Linked DNA regions of Canis lupus familiaris. The protein of the gene in region 1 purifies or fractionates together with the protein of each later gene. This does not show direct contact. Links are inferred from orthologs where the notes say so. Each region holds a gene or a part of one and is shown on either strand. Other genes may lie near its edges.

Region 1 (5,991 bases):
AGAAGCAGGCTCTATGCAGAGAGCCCGATGTGGGACTCGATCCCAGGACTTGATCCCGGTACTTCAGGATCAAGCCCTGGGCCGAAGGCAGGCGCTTAAACCACTGAGCTATCCAGGGATCCCCAACTGTTGTTGTTCTAGGCCACTAAGTTTTGGGGCCATTTGTTATCCAAGAATAGATATTGGAACAATTTGTTTATGTAGATATTTCATGTCTCTCCCCACTAGAGTACAAGTTTCATGAGTTCAGGAATTTTGCTTTCTTTTTTGTTGTACTCACCTAGTACACGACCTGAGGCACCTAGACCCGCACCTGCATATTGCAAAGTACTCAATAAAAATGTGTTAAAAAAGTGAATGGATGCATGATGCATTTTCAGTATGGTATGCTAATGGTTATTGGTCAACAGTGCATGGTACAGTCTGCTGGACTAGACCTCATTGGCAGAGAGCATAAGTTGGCACTTTCAGCATGGGAAAATACATTTCAACAAGAATATTTCAGAGGCAAATAACTTTATAATGAATTATAATTATAGTAGGAAAGTATAAAATAGGATTTGAGCTTCTTGTAGAATTTGTCTTCTGGTGATTGATTCCATAATCCCATCTTAGGCTTTTCTAGATCAGGTCTGGAAAGGCTTCAGAAGTATTTTTGGAAGGATTGGTGATTTTTTTTTCAATCCAAATAATAAAGTTCTTGCTAAAAATGACACTTTGAGATCATTCACATGTACTTAGTATGAAATGAGATGAAGTGGAATGAAAATGGACGGCATTGTGTACACACAGGTGCATGAGGGAGCAATTTGTAATGCCTAATTCCATCGCCTATTTTCAGTCTGGTGGTTGAATAAAGTGCACATATATAAAAAAATGAATAAATATGGTTCTGATTCTCCCCAATCTTGCACAAAGTACTTTGATCTACATTGGCTTGGAGTAAATATTTGTGTATTGCTTAGAGAGCAACAACATACTCACATATCCAAGGAAAATTTTACAATATTATCATCTCTGAAAGTAAAAAAAGGACTAAATTTCTTAGATACCTGGAAAAGAGGTACTTCTTGTTCGGGGAAAAATTACAGGTGGCTGGTCTTGAATAGACTCCTTTCTTTGAGCCAATCCCCCTCAGCCTTGATCGGAGCAAAAAGCACAGATGTAGAATCTATGGTTTCTTAGAATTGAGGATTTGTGCCGAGTCTATTGACAAACGGCTTCAAAGCAGTTTCCATACATGAGTCACTTTGATAAGCAATATATGTGATTTATTTCCAGAATCCAGTAGGGTTCAGAGTAAAAATAGCTTTTAAAAGTTCTTCACTTAAGACTACTGCCACAAGGCTACTTGGCCAAATGCCTCCTGATGAAGAGTATGTGCCATTCTGCTGCCTTTGTTCCAAGGACAGTTGTTGGTGCCATTGGGTCTCACCACCTGGCCTGTGGCATGAGGTTCTCCTCTTGGTTAGGTACAAGACTTGAGTGGAAAGTGAGGAGGTGCCCAAAATTTCTTTGGAAAGTCCAGGCAAGTGAATTGGGCACTATTTTCCTTGGAAATTCCATTTTCCTCATCAAGATTTAGCTGTTGCTTCTGAAGCTAATTATTCTTATTTCATTTTTCTTAAATGTTTTTTATTTATTTATTTATTTATTTATTTATTTATTTGCAGGTCCAGACAAACTTGACTGGAAAAGAAGCCCGGGCAGGGGTTAGGATGAGCCCATGACGTGTCCCACGCCGCAGCCAATTGCGAGGCCACGAGAGGGGGAGGGCGGAAGTGACGAGACGTATCCCTCCGCGGAGCGAGAGGGTCGGTGGGGGGAGTCGGCGTCTCTCTCCCCCGCGCCAGCTCCCGTACACGGAGCCGCATTCCTTGGCCCCCCCACCCCCTCCCTCGGGGCCCCCCCGCCCCCCTCGGGAAAAAAATCCACCCCAAGTCACTGGAACCCGAGGGAGGTTTCCTTTCCCCCGCGGGGAGACGCGCTCTCCACGGTTCCCTCTCAGCCGTCTCCCCAAGCCCCCGTCCCCTCCCCTGCTCCCACCCCCTTCTCCCGGCGCCGGGTGCGAGGTCCCTTTAAGGCGACGGCGCCTTCCTCGGGTCAGACTACCGGCGGCGACGACCACGGGAGGTGAGTAAGCGAGCGGGCGAGCCTTCTTTCTCCCCACCCCCTTCTCCCGGGGGTTCCGTTATCTTTTCGCTCGGCGAGGCGCTCGGAGGCGAGACAATGAGAGGGGGATGGGGCGGGGGCGCGGGGGGTGGGGGCAGGGGCCCGGTGGCGCGCGCCCCTGCTCCCCGCGAGTGCAGCGCGGCCCGGGCGGCGGCGGCGGGCATGGGGCGCGGCTCGCGAGCGCGTGCGCCCCCGGAGCCGCGGGAGCTCGGGAGCCGCGCGACGGTCTGGGCCGGGCGGACCCTGCCTGCCTGCCTGCCTGCCTGCCGCCCGCCCCCGCCCCCCGGCGTCCTCCGCGGCGCGCGCGCGCGCACTCGCGCCCCACGGCCCCGCACACACCGACGTCCACACGCACGCCGGGCGCGAGGCGTCTCGGAGGAGTGGGCGGGCGGCGGGCGGTGGCCCGCGGGGAGGGGGAGGGGGAGGGGGAGGGGGCGGGCGGCTGCGAGTCGGCGGGCGGGGGGCGAGGCCGCGCCGAGGTGACGTCCCGGGGGGAGCGCTCGCTTCTCCCGCCGCGCCCTCCCGCCTCCCTAGGACTGGGGCGCTGTTCGGGCGCGAGGAGGAAAATGAGGGGTCGCTGTGCCGCTCCCTTGTGTTACGTAATCGCCGCTCGGTCCACTAGTACCTCCCAAGCCGTAGTGCGCTGCAGTTAGTTTACCAAGTCTCCTCCCTTGGCCCTAAAATTTCTCTGCGTTGGCGCCGTGATTTGTAAAATGGAATGGGGCGGAAAACCTTTCTTTCGGCTGATTATATCCTGCCGCGGTGGGCGCCATGTTCCTCCCGGGGACTATTTTGTCTAGATTCTCAGCACCTCCTGGGGAGGACTGATGTCGTTGATCCACCTGCCTCCCCTCCTTTCTGCCACTGACCCTGTTTTCCTCTCCCGCCAGACGCGGGATTCCTCCACGCTGTTCCTAACTGTGGACATAGCTCAGCTCACTTGTCTTGGGCCTTCTTTAGCCCAGAAAAAGAGATGGGAAGAGGCTTGGAAGTCAGTTGGCCCCATCTCCTCTCTGAGATGCACACGGGAAGACAATTTTACCATCTCAGAACCACCACCTTGTTGCGGGTTGTAGCTCAGCCTTCTACATTCTAGACACCTCCCACTGCAGTTCAAAACCCTGCAGAAATGGAGTTTTACTTTCAAAGGAGTTTCCCCATCTAGTTGGAGGGGAAAGAGCGGGGCAGAGAGGGCTGCTCCTTGGTGAACAACATTGAATTTCCAGACCATGATGTGTTGTTCTTGGGACCGGGAGTTGGACTCTGAATTCGAACTCGTTCTCTAGATCTTTAAGTTCGGGATAGCTAAAAAGTACCTTGGAGGTTGCTGAAAGTGCTGTGTTAGGGGCTTCGTCCTCAAGTCTTTTCAGGTGGGAAGGGGAGGGTGTGTGTGGTGCTATCTTCTCTAAATTTTAACCGCCACATAAAGAACTGTTGATTTAGCGTAAAAGTGCTCAAAATACAATCTTAAAACAATTTCATGGCAAATTACGTCCTTGATTTCCTTCCCCTTATACTACGGTTATGACACACCGGTCACGTTGGTGATGTATCTCAAACTAAAGGAACTAAGAAGATGAAGACTCTTGGGATGAACAGGATTTTGTTCGTTTCCACCCCAACCTTGAACCAGTGATATAATCTTGGAAAAGGTGACCCACTGACCTCTGGGGATCATTCAGAGCCTTCCAGGGGACCTGAGAGGTCATAACTATTTTCAAAGTAGAAAATACTAAGACACTATTTATCTTTCTTCCAGTGACATTTGCACTGATGGTCCAAAAAGCAAAGCTGAGTAAAACTGGTGGTCCGTTAGCACAAAGCAAGGCAGTTACACGAAACACCGTGTGAAAATGGCCTTGATGAAACAGTAGAAATGATTTTTGTTAAATCTCAACCCTTGGGTACATGGTTTTTTTAAGTTTTAAGAATCTTTGATCGAATAGGAAGGATGCATAAAGTACTTTGCTGACTAAGGAGGTACGGTCCTTCTCATAAGGAAAAGCGCTTGTGAGATTGAGTTATGAGCTGCTTGTTTCATGGAACAGCATTTTCACTTGAAAGAACTGACAAACTACAGTTTTTCACACTTTAAGGTTGCGCTTATATTTTCTTGACAACGAGGCGAGCATGTTATTTTGAGGAAACAATTGACAGTATTTGTTACCAATGATAAAAATTTGAGAGTGAAAATTAGAATTTGTCAAAAGTTGACATCTCAGGTTTAACAGTTTAAATATTTTCTATATTTATATTTGTAGTGAAATATGTCAACATTTGGAGGATGGGCATCGCAGTAAATCTATATTTTCCAAGCAACCAATGCTGATATTTCACAATCATCATAAGTAAATATCCTTTCAGAATGCAAGGTACACTAGTGGATTTTAATGTAATAAAATATGAAAAGTTCATTGATAGGGATTCAGATTCCAAGATGCAACTCTTCTTTAAGAAACTACCATTTGGGGACGCCTGGGTGGCTCAGTGGTTGAGCATCTGCCTTTGGCTCAGGGCATGATCCCAGTTTAAGGATCGAGTCCCACATCGAGATCCCTGTGAGGAGCTTGCTTCTCCCTCTATGTCTCTACCTCTCTCTGTGTCTCCCATGAATAAATAAAAAAACCTTAAAAAAAAAAAAAGAAACTACCATTTGTCGAGTTTTAGTATTGTGTCAATATACACAGCTGTCTGAAAAGGTTTTTGAATACTTTTCCTTTTTCCTGCTGTGAGGCCAGATAGTCTACAGCAACAGACTGAATGCATAAACACTATGAGAATCCAGCTGCTTTCTATTAAGCTAGACCTTAAATTTAGGCAAAAATGTAAAAAAAAAAAAAAAAAGGTTACTCTTTTTGGGAAAAATAGTAATTTTTAATTGAAAGTGTTATTTATGTCAGCTTGATGCCTCATTGTTAATTGTATTGATAAATACTTTTTTTTTTAAAATTTATTTATGATAGTCACACAGAGAGAGAGAGAGAGAGAGGCAGAGACACAGGCAGAGGGAGAAGCAGGCTCCATGCACCGGGAGCCCGACATGGGATTCGATCCCGGGTCTCCAGGATCGCACCCTGGGCCAAAGGCAGGCGCCAAACTGCTGCGCCACCCAGGGATCTCTTGATAAATACTTTTGTTTTAGTGTCTAATATGGTAAATATCAAAAGATGTAATCCATATAAATAAAAACTCTCTGAGTTCCTCAGTAATTTTAAGAATGTAAAGGGTTCTCAAGACCAAAAAATTTGAATAAATAAAAATTAAAAAATAAAAAAAAAAAAAAAAAAAGGGATCCCTGGGTGGCGCAGCGGTTTGGCGCCTGCCTTTGGCCCAGGGCGCGATCCTGGAGACCCGGGATCGAATCCCACGTCGGGCTCCCGGTGCATGGAGCCTGCTTCTCCCTCTGCCTGTGTCTCTGCCTCTCTCTCTCTCTCTGTGACTATCATAAATAAATAAAAATTAAAAAATAAAAAAAAAAAAAAAAAAAAAAAAAAAAAAAGACCAAAAAATTTGGGAATGACTTGGTGTGTCCTATGCGTCTACTTTTGAGATCATCCTAATCTGCTTCCATTTAGGAACCTCTGAAGAATTTACAAAATGTTAGTTGAAGTTAATAATGGAAGAGGCAGTGGCTTGGGGAAGAATTCTAGAGAAAAAGGTTGATTTGAATCTTGGCTCTGGATTACAGTTCTTAACTAACTATAACCTTGGTCAAGTTACTGAATCTCGCTGAGTGAAGTAAGCCAGTCGGAGAAGGACAAACATTATATGTTCTCATTCATTTGGGGAATATAAATAATAGTGAAAGGGAATATAAGG
Region 2 (6,006 bases), on another chromosome or scaffold:
ACAAAGATTCAGATGCAATGAAACGCTGGGACACCTGCACCCCAATGTTTATAGCAGTGATGTCCACAATAGCCAAACTGTGGAAGGGGTCTCGGTGTCCATCGAAAGATGAATGGATAAAGAAGATGTGGTCTATGTATACAGTGGAATATTACTCAGCCATTAGAAACCACAAATACCCACCATTTGCTTCAATGTGGATGGAACTGGAGGGTATTATGCTGAGTGAAGTAAGTCAATCAGAGAAGGACAAACATTATATGTTCTCATTCATTTGGGGAATATAAATAATAGTGAAAGGGAATATAAGGGAAGGGAGAAGAAATGTGTGGGAAATATCAGAAAGGGAGACAGAACATAAAGACTCCTAACTCTGGGAAACGAACTAGGGGTGGTGGAAGGGGAGGAGGGCAGGGAGTGGGGGTTACTGGGTGGCGGGCATTGAGGGGGGCACTTGACAGGATGAGCACTGGGTGTTATTCTGTATGTTGGCAAATTGAACACCAATAAAAAATGAATTTATTATTACAAAAAAAATAAAGATTTTATTTATTTATTCATGAGAGACGGGGGGAGGGGGCAGCGGGGAGCAGACACAGGCAGAGGGAGAAGCAGGCTCCATACAGGGAGCCTGATGTGGAACTTGATCCCAGAACCCTGGGATCATGCCCTGGGGATAAAGGCAGGTGCTAAACCGCTGAGCCACCCTGGCGTCCCTGTCCTATCCTTTACGAAAAGTATCAGCTACCACCAAGAGCATTTAATGTGCTCTGTGCTAATAGTAATTACAGGGTCAAAATGTATTCCTTCCAGGTTACTGCTCCTCAAACTACAATACAGATTAGAGATACTTATTTATATTAAGAGGATCCCCTTTAATAATTTCAGAAACAATAACTTAAAAAACTGTACAGTATTTCTAATTTTGAGAACTTGTCTTGAAGATGTTATTGCCTACAACACTGTTTTCTATCACCTATATTACCGGTTTATTATTTGCATTTGGGGGTAGCAGTTTAAATATAAAAAGGTGACAAGACAGTTGAGGAAACAAACGAGTGCTTTTCAGAAAGTATTAGCTCCTTCAGGAGCTTCAGGAGCTGCAACTATCCTGGCTTTCAGAAAATTGTTTTTAGGGCTCTATGGGCTGACTAAAAAAAGAATATAATCACTGAATACTGAATAAAAAAAATCTCTGAAACTTGCAAACATAATGAAGATAACATGTAGAAAGAATGTGCAGGTTAACGATCCACCTAAAACCCAGTGTCTCATAAAAGTATAAGAATGTTATAAGAAAAGGCAGCGATTTCTCAATAACCGCATCTGGCCTAAACGGCCACAATCAACAGTCAAGGGATGTTCATAAGGGGGACATTACATATTAAAAACCATCATTATAGTATAATAAACCCTAAGTTGCATATATATGACACAGAGGTTAAGACCTCAGGCTTGTTGGGTTTGAGTGAGTCCTGGTTCCAGTATATGGCTTTTGTTAGGTTGCTGAACTTACGTTTCAGGTTCCTGGACGGATGTTAATATTTTGTAGCATATTTAGAACAGTATCTCATGGTGAACTGTCGGTGTCAGCTATGATTATTATACTAGAAACTACAAGGGCATCCTCTAACCAACAGTTCAGTTTCTGGTAAGTAAATATTGCCCAATGACCTTGCTAAAGTTATGGCTGACCAGCACGCAGTATCTCATCTGAAATATACTCAAGTCCTATTTATGACAGGAAGATAGACTTTGTACTTTCACAACTTGCGTTTCTTAAACTTAAACTGTTAACTATGAAACTTTTCCCATCTTCTCAAGAAACTAGTGTAGAGTGGGAGAAAGTATCTTACTCAGTACCTCTCTATTGTCTTTGCCTAATTTACAGTCCTATCAACAAAACAACTTTCATTTCCTGTATGTTAACTCATCAACTTTTTACCAATACTAGTTCATAAAATAGAGGTTATCAATAAGCCCAATAAGTGTATAATACAGGAATCAGATTATGAACTTTAAGAGTAAAGCATTTTGTTCTCTTCCTACAGAAATTACTGAGCACACTATTCTGTCATCAGAAAAGTTTTTAAAAAATGCTTCCATGGCATGCCTGGGTGGCTCAGTTGGTTAGGAGCCCGAGCCCACCTTTGGCTCAGGTTGTTATCCCAGTGTCCTGGGATGGAGCCCTATACCGGCTTCCTGCTCAGTGGGGAGTCTACTTCTCCCTCTGCCCTCCCCCCACTCATGCTCTCACTCTCTTGCTAATAAATAAATCTAAGGGAAAAAAATGTTTCTGGCAAACTTACCAAATGAAAAAGAAAATAAAACCACATCTCATAAATTGACATCTCTAACATTAGTGCAACAACTGGAGAACCACACCCCCTGTTCCCATTCCTATGAAAGAATTGTGGTTCCTTTCCTTTCTTTTTTTTTTTTTTAAAAAGATTTTATTTATTTATTCATGAGAGACACAGAGAGAGAGAGAGAGAGAGAGTGAGAGGCAGAGACACAGGCAGAGGAAGAAGCAGGCTCCATGCAAGGAGCCTGATGTGGGACTTGATCCCAGGACTCCAGGATCACATCCTGGGCCAAAGGCAGGCACTAAACCGCTGAGCCACCCAGGGATTCCCCTTGTGGTTGCTTTCTATAGGCAAAACTCTACCACTATTTCTGCTTACTTCTACTTTCCATTGGCTGTATCTCTGTTTCTTGCCTCTCTGGAAATTTTACACTAACCCTACATTTTATTGCTGCTTCTGTAAATTAGTTTATCTTTTTTTTTTTTTAAAGATGTATTTATTTATGAATGATAGACACACACACACACAAAGAGAGAGAGATAGAGAGAGAGAGAGAGAGAGGCAGAGACACAGGAGGAGGGAGAAGCAGGCTCTATGCCTGGAGCCCGACCTGGTCAAAGGCAGGCGCTAAACCGCTGAGCCACCCAGGGATCCCCAATTAGTTTATCTTTGATGAATACCACTTGCCCTAATTCCTGCTGCTTTTGCCTCCAAGTGGCCCCCAGCCACCTCAGCTTGGATTCCTTTTGTCCTTAACTGCTGCATGTTAAATCATCAGCTCTCTCACCCTCCATGGAGTGCCAATCAGTTCCTCACCGATCCTGCTCCCTCTCAATCTGTGTTAATTCCGATGGCTCCCTAGACTTGGGTGTTTCCCATCTCCCTCACCTGCCCCTCTCTATTTCTTCCTCTTCTTACCATCAACTCTTCTGGCCAGTCTCAAAGTGTCTATTTCCCAGCCTCATTATCAGACCCTAGTAACCCCTTACTCAAAAAAATTTTTTAAAGAATTGTTTAAAATTCACTTCTCAAACCCCAAACTCTGTCATATATATGCATACCTGTCACATCTTCATGCATCATTATGTATGCACATATGTGCTTTTGTAGATTTTCCTTAGGTGTAAGCACTTCTCAAAAATGTTCACATCTTAAACATACTCTCCTAATTGTTATAAAGCAAACAAAAACAATATGCAAAGTAAAGCTGGTAAAATAACACTATAAATCCAGGCCAATTCCCTTTAGAGCAGGGAAGAAATAAAGACCAACAATACTTTCTCTGGTAGACTTACCAGTTTATCTTCCTAGAAGCCTTGAAAGTATGTCTTCAAAGGGCAAGCAAGTCTACATGGCTTCTGAGTTAATTATAGAAAATAGTTTGTAGTACATGAAGAACAAAGATGATAAGATGGACCTGGAAAAAAAGAATAAAGGAACTGTAATCAAAACTACATTTCTGTGATAATCTATGCAAAAGAACTCTGCCTATTTCTCTTGCTGACCTGCTCCCTGCCAACAGTGACTGGGGTCAATCCACTTGCTTTAATGAAATAATACCAAAGATAACCATGGATACTACCAATGACACCACCCACATCTTATTCCATTTTAAAATCCAGGACCGAATCCTGAACCCTTGTCTATAACCACAGCAAATTCATCGTCTCACTTCAGCTGCCGAGACCACAGGATACAGGAGCAGCTGATGTTTTGTCCATTATCCACACTACACTGCAGAGCAGTAAAGTAACAGGTAGTGAGGAAGGGACAAGATTGTCCACAGGACCAAGGGGCAAAGAAGGAAGAGGCATCAGAGGATAAGGAAGGACAGTGGTGCTCCAGTGACTGCACAGCCTCTTCAAACATGGATTTCAGAGAATGTGTCAGGGTCCGGGTAAGCTGTTGACTTGAATAGCAAGAACAAAACTGGCCATGAACAAGCCAGGGGATAGTGCACAGCACACCACTCTACCCATGGTCAAGCTGTAATGTGGATAGCTGTGCTGTCTGTGCCTCTCTAGCCTTACTTCCTCGCCATCCAATCGCCATACTGTTTCCAGTCATCTTCCAAATACAACCTAATGCCATTGGCCTGCTCACAGTTCCTCAAAATATCCCCCAACACCTACAGAAGACAAAACCACGGTATATATAGCCCTTCACAATCTGTCTGTCCCCTGACTGGACTTCATTCCTTTAAATACAAACCTAGCCTCTGGACTTTCACACAGGCATTTCCTCTACTTTATACTCCCTGGCATGGTAAGTTTACACACTCGGCCATCGGGCAAGTTTCTCCATCCTTTAGGAAGAATTACTTCCTAAAAAACAATGGCCAACACCCTCCCCAACTCTCTTTGTGTGCACACCTTCCATGTAGGCATTACTCTCTTGCACTACAAGAGTCTGGCTCTCAGAGGGCCTGTTCACCCCTGTAACCCTTGCACATTCTTGGCACATGGTATATGCTCATAAAGTATCCGTTCGTTACCTCTAAACATCCCATCATGAAGACTAGAGACTTGATCTTAGATTCATAGGACTTTAAAACTAGAAGAGACCTGTGCTACCATCTAGTTTACAAATCATTGTGATTCAGAGCAGAAAGACCTCAGGGATCATCTACTTTGAAACTTCAATTTATGGCTGAGAAATTCAAACCTAGACATTAAGTAATTTGCTCAAGATGAAGCAAGTAATCAGCATCTCACAAAGGACGAGATTAAAGTTCTGTCATCTACCTAGGTTCTTTCTAATATATCTTGACTAAACTAATACACTAGAACCTAGAAGATCTTGACAAACTAGTGTAATGGACAAAATCAGTAATACGAATCGACAGAGAACTGCACTCCATCATCTACATCAGACAGAATGTCCCAGTGGATCACTGTCTCCAGCTCTGGGCAGGAAGGATGAGTTTAGAATACTAGGCAACATGCAAAAGAAAGCAACCAGGATGGCAGGCAGTCTTTAAAAACATGTCTTGGGCAGCCCAGGTGGCTCAGTGGTTTAGCGCTGCCTTCAGCCCAGGGCCTGATCCTGGAGACCCGGGATGGAGTCCCGCGTCCGGCTCCCGGCACCCGGCATGGAGCCTGCTTCTCCCTCTGCCTGTGTCTCTGCCTTTCTCTCTCTCTCTCTCTCTCTGTGTGTGTTTCCCATGAATAAATAAAATCTTAAAAAAAAAACACACACAAAAAAACATGTCTTTTCTGAGTACGGAAACTGACTAATTTCAAGTGGAAGAATTATGGGTAATATGTAAGGTATCCTAGAAGCAACAAGTGGAAGCCAGCAGGAAAACAGATTCCAGCTTAAGAAAAAGTTTTACAAACTACTCAATCATGGACTAGAATGAGTTGCATTCCCAGGTAAGAGCCCTCCATAACCGCAAGCCAATGGTCAGTATAGGACTGAAAGGATCCTCAGATGACTTGAGTCTAAACTCTCCACTTTAGAATCGAGAAAACTGATGCTGATGGAGAAAAGTGCTTGGGATCACAACAGTTAGGAAGGTCAGAGGATGCCTGATCCTGGACCTTTGCTGAAATACCATGACGTCTTTCCCATCAGCATGCTGCAGAATTCAGCTCCTGGGTAGACGCTGGACACTGAGATTCCTTCCAGCTTTAAGATTCTAGCCATTTCCCACCCTAAATTTCAGAGCTCCTAAGCCTGACTATGAAAGTAACTCTAC
Region 3 (5,531 bases), on another chromosome or scaffold:
AGGAAACACAAAATAAGAAAACAAGAGTTTCACCTAATTGTGACATAAGCTTTCAGCAGTGTCAAAGTCAGGCCTCTCTGACCACCTTCTAAGCAAGAGGAATTAGTATAGACAGGAATTTAAGAGAAGATTCTAGACTGACAAAAGGACAAAATCCTTAAAATTCTGCCTTAACTGGTAAAGGCTTAGAATCATTCCCTCCTAATTTATATTTTAAGGACAATATTTGAGACCTACCTGGGGGGGGAAAAAAGCACAAACATTTTTCAACCAGCAAGAAAAAGAAAAGAAAGCCTTCCTTTTGGCAGAGAATAGGGATATTTTAGGGAATCTGGGGTTAATTAAAGTTCTTATCATTCTCAAGACAACTGTTTTCCTTAAGCTGTTTTGTGGAGTATTACTACCATTGGTATTCATACTTCTAATGGAAAAAAATAGCCTATTACTCTATGCTCTCAGTACAGTAAAGGTGACTTGCTGACCCCTACTGGCTGATCCTGGAATTACAGAATCTGCACAAATTGGAAAGGATCTAACAATCAAAGACAAAGGAAGAGCTACAGAAATTCTTAAATAACCCTGAGAAGTTAACAGAACTTCTGATCCTGGGGCCAGCCCAATTTTTATTAAGGAGGTTGTACAAGGGGAAGGTGGTTCAATCACATTTCATTCCCAACCCCTTCATTCACAGAAGTGAAATGTGATCCTTCCCTGTACCTTCTCCATCCTGGATTTTCTCCCACCTCCTAATAAATGGGGCAAAGATCTGAGAATCCTAAGGGCCCCTACCTGTAACTCATGAGTCCAGGCTGGCAGTCAGGCCGAGGGTCACTATCGAAGGACTATGCCATCTTAAAGATTTCACACTTGGGCGACTGGAATTTCGAAGATCCAGCTCTTTTCCTCTGGCATGGAACAGATGGGGAGAAGAAAAAAACCACCACACAGGGCCACCAGCAGACTCACCATTTCATCAGGAACATGAGTTCTCCACTGGAGTCTGTAGCTCCAATAATCCGCTCTGGTTCCAAACCCCGGGCAAAGCCTCGTGGCTTTTCTGACTGTAAAAATCAGATGGATGCAACAAATTTAATTATGTGGGACTGTTATCCAGACTAGAGTCACTCCTGCTCCTCTGATTAATATAATCACATTCTTGTCAGTATTTCATCAATACCTTGGCTCCAAGTCACAGGCCTTTATGCATCCTTCTGAGTGATTCTTCCATCAAGGTCTTGAGGTTTCCCCATATGTAAAAAGGGACATACATCTCAAGCAAAATAAATTTTCACAACAGTTTCTTCACCCTCAGAAGATAACTTACTTTAAGGTACTGAATAAATATAGAGCTAACACCTGTAATGATTACAACACTGAAAACTATCTATAGGAATGAATTTATTTGCACTCATTATTATTCTTGAAACTTGGATAAAGTAGGGCAGCCCGAGTGGCTCGGCAGTTTAGCGCCTGCCTTCGGCCCGGGGTGTGATCCTGGAGGCCCAGGATCGAGTCCCACATCAGGCTCCCTGCATGGATCCTGCTTCTCCCTCTGCCTGTGTCTCTGCCTCTCTCTCTCTGTGTGTCCCTCATGAATAAATAAATAAAATCTTAAAAAAAAAAAAAAAAAAAAAGGAAAGAAACTTGGATAAAGTATAGATTACATGGCTTCAGCAAAGTGAACCCCCAAACACTTTATAAGCATTAGCCTAAGATTCCAGAGGAAGGAGAGATGGGTGCTGAGGCCCAAGAAGCAGCAGAATAAAACTCCTTAAATTTAAAAATTAAAAGGCTTTTCAGCTTTGACAGCAGTAGGAATTCTGGGCTAGTAAAACTTGTTCTCCCCTTACCTCTTCTTTCTTCTTCTTTGGTTTGCTCTCTTCTCCCTTATCTTCAGAATCAGAGTCAGCTTTGCGTTTGCCTCCCTCTGATTTATCTGTCTCATGTGCTGTTTTCTGTGACTGTAGAAACTCGGCAATGAGATCAGGGCAATCCAGGTTCTCTTCTGGCTCCCACGTGTTATCCTCACTGAAACCAGAGGGCACAGTGAGTCACACTTTCCACTCAAAAGTTAGCACACTCATACTAAGGAGATGCACAGGATGACGAGAGCTGGTGTCCTTGGAAAAGAGGAGTTAATGATAATGAGTATCCAGATTTTGTCCAAGACCAAGAACCTTGGTAACACTGAGATTTCTTGGGGCAGGGGGGTTGGCATCAGACTTTTTAATGTAAATTAAAAGCTTAGAAACTTGCCTTCTTCAAAGGAAAATTACTTTCTTTGCAAACTTGAATCAGTCTAAAGCTGCACATAAAACTGCTTCTCATAAATCACTGTCTGGCATTGTAGCACTTTGTACATGTGGACAGTTTTCCTCATTAGACTCTAAGCCATGAAGGCCAGGCCTGGGTCATACTACCCATCAGAGCACCCTAGGCCTTGCGCATTACTAGACTCCTGAGAAATAGTCAGTGACTAAATAGATAGATTTACCCAAGTTAATGAAACTTACTCTGAGAACCCCTTCCACTTTAGGAGGTACTCCACTTTGCCCTTTACCACTCGACGGTCAAGAACTTTTTCCACCACATATTCCTCTTCCTCCTCTTCTAGCACCTCCTCCACTTTCTTCTTGTTTTGTTTCTTCCCCATAGTGCCCGCCAGCTTTCTGGTCTAAAGGGTGACGCTGCTAAAGTGATAAAATAAAATAAAAAGGGCGTTAGGGCACATTTTTCTTGGTTAGGTGAATATTTGGATGGTTAGAAATCCAGGGACAGCTCTGACTTTAATGGTGTATGCTGCTTGTATTAGCTGTTCTGCCTATACAACTGCAGTATAAAATAAGGCTTTCTTTTTTTTTTTTTTTTAAATAAGGCTTTCTGATATATTAAGCTAGAAAGTTCATAAACAGTCCCAGCCAATCTCACCGCAAAACTTTATTCAGCTTCTTTATTGTTGTATCTCCACTTAAGAGTTTTATACCTATTCTAAGTTTAAAAAGTTCCCAATACCCCTCTTACTGTAAAGCATGTATCTAAAATATTAAATTGGGGGGCATGGGTGGATCAGTTAGTTAAGCATCCGACTCCTGGTTTCTGCTCAGGTTATAATCTTGGGGTCAGGAGGTCGAGCACTGTGCAAGGCTCTCCCTTCAGTGGGGGAGTCTCCTTCTTTCCTTCCTTCTCTCCCCCTCTCCCTCTGCCCTTATCTCCTGCTCATGCTCTCCTAAAATAAATAAATAGGGGCAGCCCGGGTGGCTCAGCAGTTTAGTGCCTCCTTCAGCCCAGGGCCTGATCCTGGAGACCCAGGGTTGAGTCCCGCGTTGGGCTCCCTGCAATGGAGCCTGCTTCTCCCTCTGCCTCCCTCTCTCTCTCTCTCTCTCTGTGCGTGTGTCTCTCATGAATAAATAAAATCTTTAAAAATAACTAACTAAATAAATAAAATTGAAAGCAAGGCTCCTAAAAATAATGTACATACATCAGACTTATTTATATACATATAATCCTCTGATCTATACTTTCATATTACTAGACTTCAAATGTTAGTGTGAGGTAGCTTGTCTATTTATCAAACATCTGGTTTTTCTTTTGTATTTGCATATATAATACAACCCATTTCTTTACATTCTTAAACACTTCTTCCTGAGTCTCAAAGCTCTTTTTGCAGTCTTTTCTGAACCAATGGTTTAAAATGTCAAAGTTTCTTATTAGTTTCTTATTCTACTTAGCTTATTTCTGAGGCAGGAAAATACTCAAAAATGCCAGAATGGGCAGCCCCGATGGCTCAGCGGTTTGGTGCCGCCTTCAGCCTGGGGTATGATCCTGGAGACCAGGGATCGAGTCCCACGTCAGGCTCCCTGCATAAGCCTGCTTCTCCCCCTGTGTCTCTGCCTCTCTCTGTGTGTGTGTCTGTCATGAATAAATAAAATAAAATCTTAAAAAAAAATGTAAAAATGCCAGAATGATCATGAAATCCTCTAAACTCAAGACACTGCAATAATTTGGAAAATGGCAGGCAAAAAAAATAGTTATCACAGATAATAGAACCTGAGCTTATTCTTTTGTAAAATACATCTTCAGGCTGGGTGACTTCTAGTGCTAAAATTCTAGTCCCCTATTAATCTATTTTTAGTCCTTCAAATACAACTCTTGACTGCTGGTAGACTTGAAGCCATTTGTTTACCAATTTGTGTCAGTAGGTGGCGCCATAAGATATCAATACAACAAAATTGAGCTTTAAAACTGGCCAAAAATCTACAAACTGGTAGGTCACAATTGCCCACAATGACATACAAAGAATTAAGGGTATGGCAGATAATCTAAGCCAAGAAAGTAGTTACTACGTCTGAAATTCAAGGCAATGCTGATTTGGGGTTAAACTGGATACTAGCATCCTCGGGAAAGGGAGTCTCACTCAGCCTAAAATAGAAACTCTTCTAAATATACTTTAAAACTGGCATGTACAGATAGAATATTTAAGTCCATATATAGACTATATAAAATATAACAAATTTTCATAAAAGTCGAATTCATCATTATGAAGCAGTTAAATTATCCGCAGAAGCTTTGGTTTTTCACTCTGAGATATTCCCATGTCTGCATATATGAGAAATGCTTACTTACTGAAACATTTACTTAACTACTAGAAAATCTAGACACTGCTGGATACTGGAGATTCAAGAGAATAAGAAATGGTTCCTGGCTTTCTGATGCTTAATGTCTGAAAAGAAAAAAAGCAGACACCACTTCCACTTAAAGCTGTTCTGAATTTTTACAGAGTGGCATAAAACAATGTTTTCTGGAGTGCTCCTAGTGTGGTCTAAGGCAACACCCAAGGCCCTGTATACAGAGGGGTTCAGAACACTCATCTGTTCTCAGATAAGAGGCATCTTTTTCAACACTCTTCCTCTCCACTTACATACTTAAGAATCTGCTTTGCTTTCCTTCTTCTCAACCTCTTTTAGAGAAAATTCCCTTTCTTCTTTTTTTTTTTTTTAATTTTATTTATTTATGATAGTCACACACAGAGAGAGAGAGAGGCAGAGACACAGGCAGAGGGAGAAGCAGGCTCCATGCACCGGGAGCCCGATGTGGGATTCGATCCCGGGTCTCCAGGATCGCGCCCCGGGCCAAAGGCAGGCGCTAAACCGCTACGCCACCCAGGGATCCCCCCTTTCTTCTTTTATTGTACAGACTAATCAGTAGATTGAATGTAACCTGGCTAATACTTGGCTAGCTTCATCGTACCTCTGCTTCAGAGGCTGTGTGTACTTCTTTCTGGAAGGAGATGCTTTCAGGTTTTCAGAATTCTGACTGCCATAGGACAAGTGTTATTTTATGAGGAAAGAAAAATTTAGTTTTCTGTTTGGATAAATGCAGTTGTGTTTCCTCCCCAGAAGAAGTGCTATCCCTTGCTTCTTTCCACTATGAGTTGAAGGAGTAAGCAGGATTCATCTTCAGTCTTTGGTTAATGTGTGGAGAAAAACAGATTACCTTTGATAACAAAGGGTACCACAACTCTCTATGTTAAT
Region 4 (6,238 bases), on another chromosome or scaffold:
ATGGAAACAGGGATTCTGTGTCTTTGTGTCATAACTTTGATGGGGGTGGTGAGGGAGACAGCCCCAACTATTTTCTCCAATCCCCAGGTTCCTGGGCTCCCCATCCCTCCACCTCTCCCCCCCTCATATCTGTCCTATCCATATTTGTCTCCCTGTCCACCCACTCCTGGGGGGCCTTCCCCATCTCTCCTCCAGGCCCTCCAGGGAGAGGGAAAGGAGTTTGGGGGGGTGCGTTGGTCTCTATGGTTTTTATATATAATATATTAAAAAAAAATTAAAAATCTGTATGAAAATATCAGATTGCACCCCCCTCCCCTCTTTCCTGGCTTTTGCCCCCTTTTTCTTGTAAAAAAAAACAAAACAAAACAAACACATTTTGTACAGGGAGGGGAACGGGGAGGGGGTTTGGCAATCCCACTAACCACCATTAAACTGAGGAGAGAACAAGTGTCTGGGGTGGCTGTGTGTCTGTCCCTCTGCCCAGAGCTGCACCATGTTGGGAGGGGAACTGAACCAAAGGAGGGAGGAGGGAGAGGAGTAAGATGGCTGCTTGTGGATGGTACAAGCCAGGAGAGGGCCCTTCCCTTTTCAAGGGCACCTCCACCCTTCTAAGAAATATGCTTTTTTTCCTGGCCACTTCAGGTGCCAAAAGTCACTGAGTCTTGTCTCTTCAGTACCCACTGAGCTACCCCGTCCCCAGCCAATGGCCCGAATCCTTCCCCTGGTTTACCCCTATCCCTGACATCAATCTCCAAAGGATCTTGCAATTAACTCACATCGCACCATTATAACACCTGCCCCTGCTCTGCTCAAAACCTTTCCCTAGCTCCCCATCACCTCTAGGTCAAGTCAAACCACCTTAGCCTGGCATTTCCTGCTCCTCATTCAGTCAACTAAATTTTAGGTGAGTGATTCTAATTTTAGACTAAAACATATATTGACCTCTTTGTGCCAGGTGCTGCTCCAAGATCTGGAGATGCCATAGTGAATAAAACAGGCAAATATTAGGTGTTCTAGATGCCTTAGCACTAACCTGAAACTTGATCCTGTTCTAGGCACTGAGGACCCAAAGAAAAAGGAGGGTGACTCCATTCTTACCCTCACGCAGAGCTTCCATGAGGAAAACGACTGCAGCAAGGAAGAAAAAAAAAAAAAAAAAATTTCAGATTGCCATAGGTGCCCTTAAGATAAAATGCAGAGTAAGGGGATATGGAGTATTATTAACTTATCATGGAAAACTTTGAACACAGAAGTAAACAGAACAGGACAATGAAGTCCCATGCACCCTTCACCCCAGCTTCCACAACCATCAATTTGTGGCCAGTCCTGCTTTATCCACAACCACACTCACTTCTCTACAGCAAATCTGGAGGTACCATCTTTGAAAGATCAAGGAGAACCTGGCTGATTGACACCTGTGCCAAGATATGAATGATGAGCATAAGATCAGCTATTCAAAGATCAGCGGGAAAAGCATTTTCAGGCAAAGGGAACAGCAAGGGCAAAGGCCTGACGTGGTAAAGAGATTGCAGAGTTTGAGGGGAAGTGGAGCTAGACTAGAGTGGATAAAGAGAGATGAGTGAAATCAGAGACAAGAAGGGGGAGATCATGTGTATAGCTTCACAGCCATGATAGAGTTTGAGTTTTTTTCTAAGTGTAATGAGAGCTCATTGGAGAGTTCTGTGCTGGAATCTGAGTCAATTTCCGGGAAGCCCAGAACCCTGCAAAAGTTTTCTATATCGTCAGCATCAGCGTAGTCTGGCTCCTCACCTATAGGAGCCCCTTCCCCTCTCTTTTTAAATATTTTTTAAAATTTATTCATGAGACACAGAGAAAGAGGCAGAGACATAGAGGGAGAAGCAGGCTCCATGCAGGGGGCCCAATGTGGGACTCAACACAGGCACCCCGGGGAACCCTCTCAATTCTGTTTCAGACATACTATCGCTTTCTCAATCAAACCATGCACTACTTTTTGCCTGGAGGCTTCTACCCTTGCTGTTCCCTCTGCCAGAAAAACTCCTATCCTGGTTGGCTTCTATTCATCCTTGGCTTAAAGATTACCACCTCTTGGAAGCCTTTCCAAGCTGGGGTACGCACCTCCTCTGGCTCCCACAGTTTCCTATACTCCACTCATCCCAAGTCTGAACACTGGGTTGTGGTTCTGACTTTGTATGGCTCCCCTTCCTTTGATTGGGGTGCCATGAGGGGCCAGGTTTGTCTCCATACTGCGGAAACCACAGTGCTCACCTGCACAGGGCTTGGCACAGGAGAGAGCAGTAAATATTTATGCTGGGGGTAGAGGAGGGCTTGTGAGGGTTTGGTAAGTGTCTTGGCCCTTGTGCCCCCTCTCCGGATGCAAACTGATGCCAACTAAAACAAGGCCACCCACTCCGCGCTAGTCCGCAATCCGTGAGCGCATGCGCTTTGTTCAGGAGCGCCCCCAGCCGCCCCCCCACCCCATATGCTAATCACAGCGTTCTGGAGTACGGCCTCTCCGGGGAATATGCAAATTGCCCCTTCACCGCCGTAGGGCTCCTATTGTCCCTCACTAAGATTATGCAAATAAGCAAGCCTCAGGTCCAGGATCCCGGCCTAGCTGGCGGCCCCCAGCCCCCAGCTCATTCCGTTTTCTAGAAGGCGCGTTGCCGCTCGCTCACGCACGCGCAAGCCTTGCAGTTTCTGGTTCCGTCTAGCTGCGGACTGTACCAAGTAAACCCGGACAGCGAGGGGCAAAGCCCGGAACCCCCTGCGCGGGCCTCGTCGATGGCCCGACTCACGGAGCCCCTCTTCCCACCGAGCGATGGGAATGGTCCATCTCGCCGCGCAAGCGCCCTAGGCTCCTCTCGCCGCTTTGCACTCCCTCCTCCCCGACTTGCAGCGCAGGCGCAGAGCCCAGGCGTGCAGCCGCCGCCGCCGAGCCAGAGCGGGGGCCGCTAGCGCCGGTGAGTGTCCGGGATAGGGGTGCGCGGGGCATGCTGGGAAGCGGGCACTACGGCACCGCTGCATGATGGGAATGACGGCTCCCGACACCGGGGCGAGCAGGCAGCCGTCTTGGCCCGCGACGGCCGGAGGGCGAGACCCGGGCTCCCTTTTCTCCCCCCAGCGCGGCTCCGTGCCGTCCTGGGGCATCCTGGGGGAACGGGACGCTCCGCCCTAAGGCATTGTGGGAGCCGGTCTGCTGGTCGTTATGGGCCTAGTGCATTCTGGGAAGGATTATAGCTCCTTGTGGGGAACGAGTCCCTTTTGTCACACACCTTCCGCTGAGCGTCGCGGAAGCCTGGCGTGCTTCGACGCCGAACGCCTCGGAAGGTGGTCGCTATAGGCCCGAGGCATCCTGGGAAGAGTTGCCGCAGGGCATTGTGGGGACTGGTCCTTATCGTCCTGTGTGAGGGTTTGCTCTGCCCCCTTGCCCCAGCCTTGTGGGAGCGCGTGCCTAGTATGTTCACGCAGGGCATCTTGGGAGTTCGGTGCTGTAGGTTCAGGATGTAGTAGGGCCTTGGCGGGTTTTTTTCCTTGTGATGGTGAGGGAGCCTCATTTGTGCCCCTTTAGAATTCTGGAAGCCAGTATGGCCACCGTAGTTGTAGGAATGGGACCAGCGCATCAAAGAATGTCTCCACTTGACATCTGGAAAACTCTGGAAGGCCCTTGTGTAATGTGGGTTTGGGGGGAAGGTAGGCTGGACTGGTAAGCAATGTCTCCTGGTAATCTCTTGGGAAACCCTGATTGTAGCGTGTGGTTGCCAGGTAACATAGAACGTCCAGTTAAATGTGAATTTCAGATAAATAACCTTTTAGAAACGTGTATCCCAAATATTACATGGGACCTATGTATATTAAGTAATTTCCTGCTTATCTGAAATTCGAATTTAACCAGGCATGGTCTGTTTTTATTTACTGAATTTGGCAAATTTATCCTGGCATAAAGTAGAATTCCCAAATTAGATGGGACCCAACAAGTAGTATGATATCATGACAATTCTCCTCTGCAGATTATGAATCTCCCATCCTTAAAGCCCAGATCCAGGTGTCCTTAGAAAACTCCCCTGCTTGCTACCAGCCCTCCCATGCCCCAGTCTCCTCCAGGCTTCACTTTTTTTTTTTCTCTTTTTCTCTATCTTTAGCCCCCAGCATTAAACTTGACTTCCAGGCTTTGAAGAGATTGTGTATTTTCCACCATTGTATACCCAGTACCCAGCACAGGTCTTGGTATAAAAAGGTGTAGCTAAAATAAAAAAAAAAAAAGTGTAGCTGAGGCTGCCAGCCCTTTCACTAACTTACTCTTCCTGGCTTTCTACTGCCAGTGAGTGCAATGGGAGACAAAAGAACTGTGTGTGTGTGTGTGTATGTGTGTATGTGTGCGTGTGTGTGTGTGCGCAGCACATGGATGTATTGGTGAAGAAGGATAGGAGAGAAAGGAACCCCTTCTGGGAAGGGGTAGAGATGGTATTTGGGCTTTGAGGTGGGCTTTGGAGAGTGCATAGGAGTTCACCAGGCAGACTAGGGGAAAGAAGGACATTCTAGACAGCAATAGCAGGATTTGCTAAGACCCACAGATATGAAAAGTCCTGGTGTCCCCAGGGAGAGATGAGAAGTCTGTAATGGCTGGGGGTTTATAGGAATGGTTACAGGTGGAAGTATTAGCAGCCACTGTTACTGGAGTACCTGCCACATACCAGCAGTTTATACTGAATGAGCCTAATGAATCTTCAAAAAGTTTTTTCAGTCAGGGGATCGTTTTATGAGAGGTAGGATAACATCAAATCCTAGTTGGTATGACTTGAACTACTTGCTAATCACCTCTGTGTCTCAATTTCCTCGTGTACAAAGGAGATGATAATCTCTCAACATAGTTATAAGGACTACTTGAGTTAAGCTCTGGAAGCCTTTTTGTACTGAGAAGGATACAGGCTAGAGAAGTTAAGTCCTTTGCTTGAAGCTACACAGCTAGACTGGCAGATTAGGGTTCAGACCTAGACTCTATCTTGCCAAGGTGTAGAACTAGGGCTGACACCAACCAGTGCTGTCATACACTTGTTTAAATATTGAAGTAATTTTAGACGGATTGGTGTGTCACCACTACCTCAAGTAATTCCCTACCTTCCATCTGCCACTTTGGACCCTCCCCCAGCTCTAGACTTTCTCACAAACCGGCAACTAAAGTGTTTTAATTCCTGGCATAGGACCATGTTCCCTTCGGTTCTGACTGGTACCCACACTGGTACCTGCTGCTAAATTTTTGGAATATTACCTTCCCCGCTCCACTGACAGCTTTGTTGCCCAGATGGGGGAATTAAGATCTATAGAAGCAGGGGCTGTCTTTTCCTTTCCCCCAGCACTGAGCACACAGCTGGGCCTGGGGAGGCAGATGCTAATGTAAAAATTTATTGAGTCACCACAGGCCTTTCCTTCCCCTGCTCAGCATCCCGCTCTACTTGCCGACGTCCTGCACTGGAGAACTTGTGACCAAGGTGTGGCTGTGAAGAGCTGGCCGGGGAGGGACTCTGCCTAGCTGCTCCTCTGCTCCTGTCTCCTGTCCCCTCCCCTGGCCATGACAGAGACCCGTGAGCCCACTGAGACTGGGGGCTATGCCAGCTTGGAAGAAGATGATGAGGACCTCTCTCCAGGTGAGGCAGCCTTAGAGATGGTGGCATTACCTTGATTATCATCCTGGCTTGGAATTGGGGCTCCACTGAGCAATCTAGATGGGGAGTGGTCCCTTGTCTCCCTAGGTGTTCCATTCTGACTGGGACTGTGTTCTCTGCTAGTGGAATCCTTCTGGCTGAGACTTCTGGGCATTGTAGATTGGCTAGGATTGTTCTCCTTATCAGGGGATCGAGATCGGCTGTGGCGTCTCTCCTTGCTGTATGTTCTAGATCGGCTGTGGCCTTTCTCCTTGCTGGGGTTTCGGGATTGGCTGTGGTCTCTGTCCTTGCTGGGGGTTCGAGATTGGCTGTGGTCTCTGTCCTTGCTGGGGGTTCGAGATCGCCTGTGGTCTCTCTCCTCTTGGGGGATTCTGGATCGGCTGTGATCTGTTTCTTTTCTGAAGGTTCTGGATTGGTTGTGAGCTCTCTTTTTTCTGAAGGGACTATGATCTCTCTCTTTTCTGTGGGTTCCAGATTGGCTGTGATAGCTTTCCTTGCTGGAAGTTCTAGATCGGCTGTAATCTCTTTCTTCGCTGGAGGTTTCAGAAAGGCTATAACTTCTCTCCTTGCTAGGGGTTCTAGATCGGCTGTGACCT
Region 5 (5,531 bases), on another chromosome or scaffold:
TTTCAGGTATTAGGGATTATTGATACGGAGTTTTAAATTATTATATCTTAATGCTTCAGGTGGGTAGTAGTTATTTGAAAATTTGTTTCATAATGTTACAGTCACAATTAATGAAAAGTGGTTTTAACTCAGTAACAGTTGTGGCTGAACTGTTCTCCCCTCTTTTTTTAAGAACTACATAAGGATTACATTTTTTTTCCTACCTGTTAATTTCGGTGGATAGGTTCTTTAATAGTGCTTCAAGTGTCTGGATTGTGTTTCTGTATCTAGTAATCCCTCAAAGAAGGAAAGTTGTATAGTATCCTGAAATACTTCCCTTCCCCCCCTTTCCTGCTATCCCCTCATCCCCCAAGCAATTTTAATTAACTGTTCAGTGACAGATGGCAAAAAAGGCCTTATTTAAAGTGCTTCTGGTGGGCTGGGTTAGGGGTGAGTGGTTTGTACTGATCCTGTTGTAGAAGGGCCTAGCTTTTCCCCTCCCCCTTCTAGTTGAGCTATAATCCTGTTAGATGATCTTAAAATGCTATTGATTAATTCCCAGTGCTCTTAGAGGAATAAGCACAGGTTTTGGGTTTAAAACGCAAGAACCAATTCCCTTGAGCTCTGAATGCCTTTGCTTTGAGACCAAGGGAGTACCTTCCAACTTCTCCACCCAGTCTTCACTGAAAAGGAAAGTTAAGCCTTTTAACTTTTCCGTTTGCCTCTCCCCCCCCTTAGTCTAGTACTGCTGCCAGTTGCCATGGCAACGGGCTGGGACAGCTGCGCAGTGGCTCCCAGGCAGCTGGGTGGGGGCGGGGGAGCTGCCAGCCCGCCAAGCCCCAGACCTGGGAGGGGAGGCCCCTCCTGTTAGCCCAGAGGGAAAGAAAGAACTGGGGCGATCCGGTAGGTAAAGGAGGGAACCCCCATTCATCTTCTACCTTTGGGGTTCCTCTTCTGCATGAAGGTATAAAGGGAGATTTTCTTCTTTCCTCCCTCAAACTGAAGAACACATATGTAAATCCTTGTTTTTCCTCGTGAGGCAGGGGAGGCCATAGCCACAATGCTTAACTGCATGCATCTAACCCGGGGCTGGTTTTAACCCCAGCGCTCTGACCTAAACAGCTCAGCTCCCGGAAATTCCAAGGTGAGTGGGGGTGGGGGTGGGGTACTCTCCCTGGAATATGACATTTCCTGTCTCTAGTGAGGTTAGAGGCTGTTTTTATTTTAAATAAATAAGATTTTTTTTTTTTTCTTGAAGCTTAGGACTCTCTTCTAAATTCATGGAAAAAATATTTTGAAACTCCTGTCTACATTCTCCCCCTCCGTCCCCTTTTCCAAGTAAAGTACTTTAATAAAAACTTAAGTTTTTTTTACAGGGCAGTAGTGGATACAGACAGTATTTTGGGTGGGCAGACCTATTGCTAGTAGGTTCTAGAGATATGGTTTCCAACTAGATGTTCTTGGAATAATTCCTTAAATTTTGCTAACTTGAAGTAAATTGATAAATGCAACTTTTTATGTTACTTGACTTGAACACAGTTCTGAGATTAGTAGTGGTGGCCTTTCCTGTTCCTGGGAGTCGTCTTCTAGTCAGGATGGAAATATTTTTAGAGAGTGCTGAAAAAAATCCTTTAAGCTTACAGAAAAATAAAAATGGAGTTCAGCTAAGAAAACAATTCCTGCTACTCTATATTCCAGACTGTAGGCACCATTTAACATGGTTAAAGAAGAATTCTTAAAAATGATTATGGAGACGACAATGTGGGAATTTAAAAAAACTAGATTCTGCGTTGAGTACCCCCTGGTTGTGCATATTTCTGAGCTTAACTCAATTTCCATTTGTGTTGCCTTGCTTCAGCTTTCCTTGGGCCTATGAATGGTTCCTCTGTGCTTTGAGGCTTCATGTTGATGTGAGTTTGGGGCCAGACTTCTTTCTTTTTCCTCCTCTTCTTCCTTTGGCCCAAAGTCAACTCCAGTTAAGAGAGGTACCTCCTCAACTATTTGGATTAGTTGAGCCATGAGAATTACTGAACAATCCAGTAACTAATTTTTATTTTTTGGACTAAAATTTTTTTTCTCTCTCTGCCTCTCTCCCATCCCCAAGTGAAAAAGGTGGCTTAGTGTATCTGAGATGCCAGCCTTGCTTTTGTGAACTGATGGGTGCTCTGTAGGGACAAGCTCAGTTTGTTTAAGGGAGAGAGAGATATACCAAGTCCCTGAAGACAGTGGTAAAAGATACCTGAGCTTGCTAAGAGACTAGACAAGATTCTCTGGGCTGAGGTTACATTTTGGAGCTTTTTTTTTTTTTTTTTTAAGATTTTATTTATTTATTTGGGAGGGAACATAAGAGAAGCAGGGGGAGGGGCAGTCTACCTGCTGTGCAAGGAGCCTGACTACAAGAAGTCCTGGGATCATGACCTGAGCTGAAACCAACTGAGCCATCCAGGTGCCCCTCTTTTTTCGTTTTTATGAAGAACCTTATTCACTTCATAGGGAAAGGTTTTAATTCTATCACTGTTATTTTAACTAATAGTTTTCTGCATTTATTTGAGCTCCTGGCTTGTAAAACAGTTATAGAAGTACTCAGGAGTAATATACCACACCACTTGTCTTTGGAATCTGAAATTAGAGAAGTTACACAGTTGTGTCTATAATAATGATGTTGGCCTTGTGAGCTGATAAGAAAGTTGTGGTTGGGAAAGTGGTGATTGACCCATTTTTTGCTTATATTCTTAGGACTCCTCTAGAATGCATCAAGACCCAAGAGAAGGGTACATGGCAACTTTGTGTTATACCCCCTGCGTTCCATCAAGAAGAGACAAAGTTTTAACTTCTTGCATGGATTCTGACCATACTGTCCTTCCTATTTGCAGGAACCCGGTGGCCTTAGTCCTTCAGGTGGAACAGCTTGCGACATGGGAAAGAAAACCAAGCGGACAGCTGACAGTTCTTCTTCAGAGGATGAGGAGGAGTATGTCGTGGAGAAGGTGCTAGACAGGCGTGTAGTTAAGGGGCAAGTGGAATATCTACTGAAGTGGAAAGGCTTTTCTGAGTAAGTGCTTCTTTTAGGCCTTAGGACTCTGTAGAGGTGGACACCTTTTTTCCTTCCCCATGAGCCACTGCCGTCTTTGTCTTTTTCCCTCCTCACTTGCACTCCTCCTGAGAGTTTGAAGACGTAGCAATAAATTAAAGAGTCTCCTCTCCCTTGGAGCTGGTGTTTTAATGATAACGCTTTTGAGAGAGAGTATAATGAATTGGCTAGGTGCATAGACATGGAGCCAGATTGCCTAGGTCCAGATTTTGTTCCACCACTTGTGAGCTGGGTGACTTTGGTTTAGTTCCTTAATCTTTTTCCTCCTCAAAAAAACAGGAATAGGAAATGGTACTTGTCATAGGGATGTTGGGTATATGTAGAGCCTGACAGGTAAGCTTAATGTTAAGTATAAACTGTTACTGGAGCACCTGGCTGGCTCAGTCAGTATAGCATGTGACTCTTGATGTCCGGGTTGTGAGTTGGAGACCCACATTGGGTGGAGATTACTTAAAAACAAAATCTTTAAAAGCATAAACTTTTACTGTTAATATTCTTTTGCATATAACTAAGCTAAAATTGTATACATTTAAGCAGAAGTTGTTTATTCCATAGCCTATACCTCTCTAAAATGATCTTTGGATCTTACAAGTGACCTAGGATGAAGGACTCATCTTAATGAGAAACTTAAATCTGAGGCCACATTTTTTCCCCCTAGTATTTATTTTTTTAAGTTCAAATCTACAGCCGAGACAAAAGAAATTGAGTAAACACTGAGATACACACCACCTAGTTTCTGCAATCAACACTAAGATATTCTAGCTTTTTGTTTTTGTATTTGAAAACCTCAGAAACCCTTTTTTTAAAAGTCAGCTTTAAGAATGATACTGAGTATTGACTAGAATGTCTCTTAGGAAGTAACTGGCTTTATGCTGAAGTGCTAGAGGTGATTATTCTTTTTCCTTGGAGTAAATAGAACTAGACACATTGAAGCACAGAAGAGGTAATTTGAAAGGTGAAATCTGTGTAATCATTAGACATTTTGCCTCAATTTCTGATTAATTATCTTCCCAGGATGCCTGATAACAAAGAATGGATTTTCTAGAATCCTAGTGCAGTGGTAGAAACTGTTGTAGGCTTCTTGGAGTGGCTCTGCAATAGAAATATAATGCAAAGCATGTCTATAATTCTACATTTTTGTTGGCCACATTAAAGAAAAGTGAAATTAATTTTAATTTATCTAACACAGTATATCAAAGTGCTGTTTTAACATTAACCAATATAAAATTAAGATATCTTACTTTTTTTAATATCTTAAAAATCTCATGTATATTTTACATTTTATAGCACATCTCAGTTCATAGTAGTCACATTTCAAGTGTTCAGAAGCCACACAATATGTTAACATATTGAATATCACAGCTTTAAAGTATAGGACTTATTAAATGTAGTAAAAGGTTCAAGTGTTGATAGTACCTTTGGACAAAGGTCTGAATCAGGAGCCTTTGGAACATAAAGTTCTTTCATTACGGAAATCAACATTTCTCATTTGGAGCACTTTTGACATTTTAGATGGGATAGTCCATGCACTATAGGATGCTTAGCATCTCTAGCACACAGTGCTAAATATGGGTAGCACAGCAATCAGAATATGCCCTTTATATTCCAAAGAGGAATCGTATCACGGCATTCTTTAGAGATGAGAAATTACGAGTTTGAGAGACCTAGAAATAAGAATTTAAAATAACACCAAAAGGTTTTAAGGATGTTTATTGGGCCCATTGAATTACCATTGGAAGTTGTTGGTCATTTTGAAGGTACTTAGGACTATATCTGTATTTGAGTTACAGTAACTGGTAACTTACATTGATTAAAGAGGGAAAGAAAGTTTGGGGCAGATGAATTAAAAGCACTTGTCCTTACTTTCTCGGAAATGCCCGGGAATTCATTACAGACTGGAACAAATTTTGCCCCATTAGCATTGTCTGTAACTAAGTACCTGCTGATTGCTAGGCAGTGATCAGATTCTTCTACCTCATGTATTCTCTTTAATTCTCATAACAGCCTTTAGAGGTATTTTGAATGTACAGATGAGGAGGTTTAACAAAGCTATTTGCTGAAGATAGCATAACTGGTAAGTGCTGGCACAAGGATCTAGTATCAGATTACTTTGGCCCTAATTCCCAGGCTCTTTTAAAATTATACCATGCTATCTTTTGGGTAAAAATGGATTGATGTAAAAGCAGCCATACCAATATGGTAGGAAAAGAGATAATCCCATTATAGTACTGGCTTTCCTTATCATTTGAGACCCCGCCCTCCCAATGTCTGCTTGCTGCTTGCTTGCTTGTGTTTTACAGCGTTGGCAAGCCTCTTGCTTTTGGTGTCTTAATTTCTTCTGGGATAGTAAACTATATGGTTTATGGATTTGGGGGAAAGTTACTGTATGAGGTGGGTTTTTTTTTTTTTTTTTTTTTTGTCTTTTGCTGAAAGAAGAGCTATGAAGGCAAGCGTTTTCTAG

Evidence for each region.
Region 2: the proteins of POGZ (region 1) and CHAMP1 purify together in Homo sapiens (affinity purification with mass spectrometry; 4 studies listed by BioGRID and IntAct, with this or other methods). This does not show direct contact. The link is inferred for Canis lupus familiaris from reciprocal best matches to the Homo sapiens genes POGZ and CHAMP1.
Region 3: the proteins of POGZ (region 1) and CBX1 purify together in Homo sapiens (affinity purification with mass spectrometry; 7 studies listed by BioGRID and IntAct, with this or other methods). This does not show direct contact. The link is inferred for Canis lupus familiaris from reciprocal best matches to the Homo sapiens genes POGZ and CBX1.
Region 4: the proteins of POGZ (region 1) and ZNF428 purify together in Homo sapiens (affinity purification with mass spectrometry; 3 studies listed by BioGRID and IntAct, counting the BioPlex papers as one, with this or other methods). This does not show direct contact. The link is inferred for Canis lupus familiaris from reciprocal best matches to the Homo sapiens genes POGZ and ZNF428.
Region 5: the proteins of POGZ (region 1) and CBX5 purify together in Homo sapiens (affinity purification with mass spectrometry; 5 studies listed by BioGRID and IntAct, with this or other methods). This does not show direct contact. The link is inferred for Canis lupus familiaris from reciprocal best matches to the Homo sapiens genes POGZ and CBX5.

What each region holds. Positions count from the first base shown.
Region 1 is NC_049238.1:61,166,617-61,172,607, reverse strand, and holds the start of POGZ (pogo transposable element with ZNF domain), read left to right. Parts: upstream 1-1,952; 5' UTR 1,953-2,133; intron 2,134-4,433; 5' UTR 4,434-4,544; intron 4,545-5,991. UniProt on the Homo sapiens protein: Plays a role in mitotic cell cycle progression and is involved in kinetochore assembly and mitotic sister chromatid cohesion.
Region 2 is NC_049243.1:61,534,352-61,540,357, forward strand, and holds the start of CHAMP1 (chromosome alignment-maintaining phosphoprotein 1), read right to left. Parts: upstream 3,724-6,006; 5' UTR 3,602-3,723; intron 1-3,601. UniProt on the Homo sapiens protein: Required for proper alignment of chromosomes at metaphase and their accurate segregation during mitosis. Involved in the maintenance of spindle microtubules attachment to the kinetochore during sister chromatid biorientation.
Region 3 is NC_049230.1:24,317,663-24,323,193, forward strand, and holds part of CBX1 (chromobox protein homolog 1), read right to left. Parts: intron 2,691-5,531; 5' UTR 2,654-2,690; coding exon 2,514-2,653; intron 2,029-2,513; coding exon 1,851-2,028; intron 1,062-1,850; coding exon 967-1,061; intron 1-966. UniProt on the Homo sapiens protein: Component of heterochromatin. Recognizes and binds histone H3 tails methylated at 'Lys-9', leading to epigenetic repression. Interaction with lamin B receptor (LBR) can contribute to the association of the heterochromatin with the inner nuclear membrane.
Region 4 is NC_049222.1:112,228,612-112,234,849, forward strand, and holds the start of ZNF428 (zinc finger protein 428), read left to right. Parts: upstream 1-2,577; 5' UTR 2,578-2,942; intron 2,943-3,298; exon of another isoform or gene 3,299-3,436; intron 3,437-3,495; exon of another isoform or gene 3,496-3,672; intron 3,673-5,419; 5' UTR 5,420-5,548; coding exon 5,549-5,624; intron 5,625-6,238.
Region 5 is NC_049248.1:45,616,964-45,622,494, reverse strand, and holds part of CBX5 (chromobox protein homolog 5), read left to right. Parts: intron 1-732; exon of another isoform or gene 733-882; intron 883-1,018; exon of another isoform or gene 1,019-1,123; intron 1,124-2,852; 5' UTR 2,853-2,894; coding exon 2,895-3,031; intron 3,032-3,716; exon of another isoform or gene 3,717-4,162; intron 4,163-5,531. UniProt on the Homo sapiens protein: Component of heterochromatin that recognizes and binds histone H3 tails methylated at 'Lys-9' (H3K9me), leading to epigenetic repression. In contrast, it is excluded from chromatin when 'Tyr-41' of histone H3 is phosphorylated (H3Y41ph).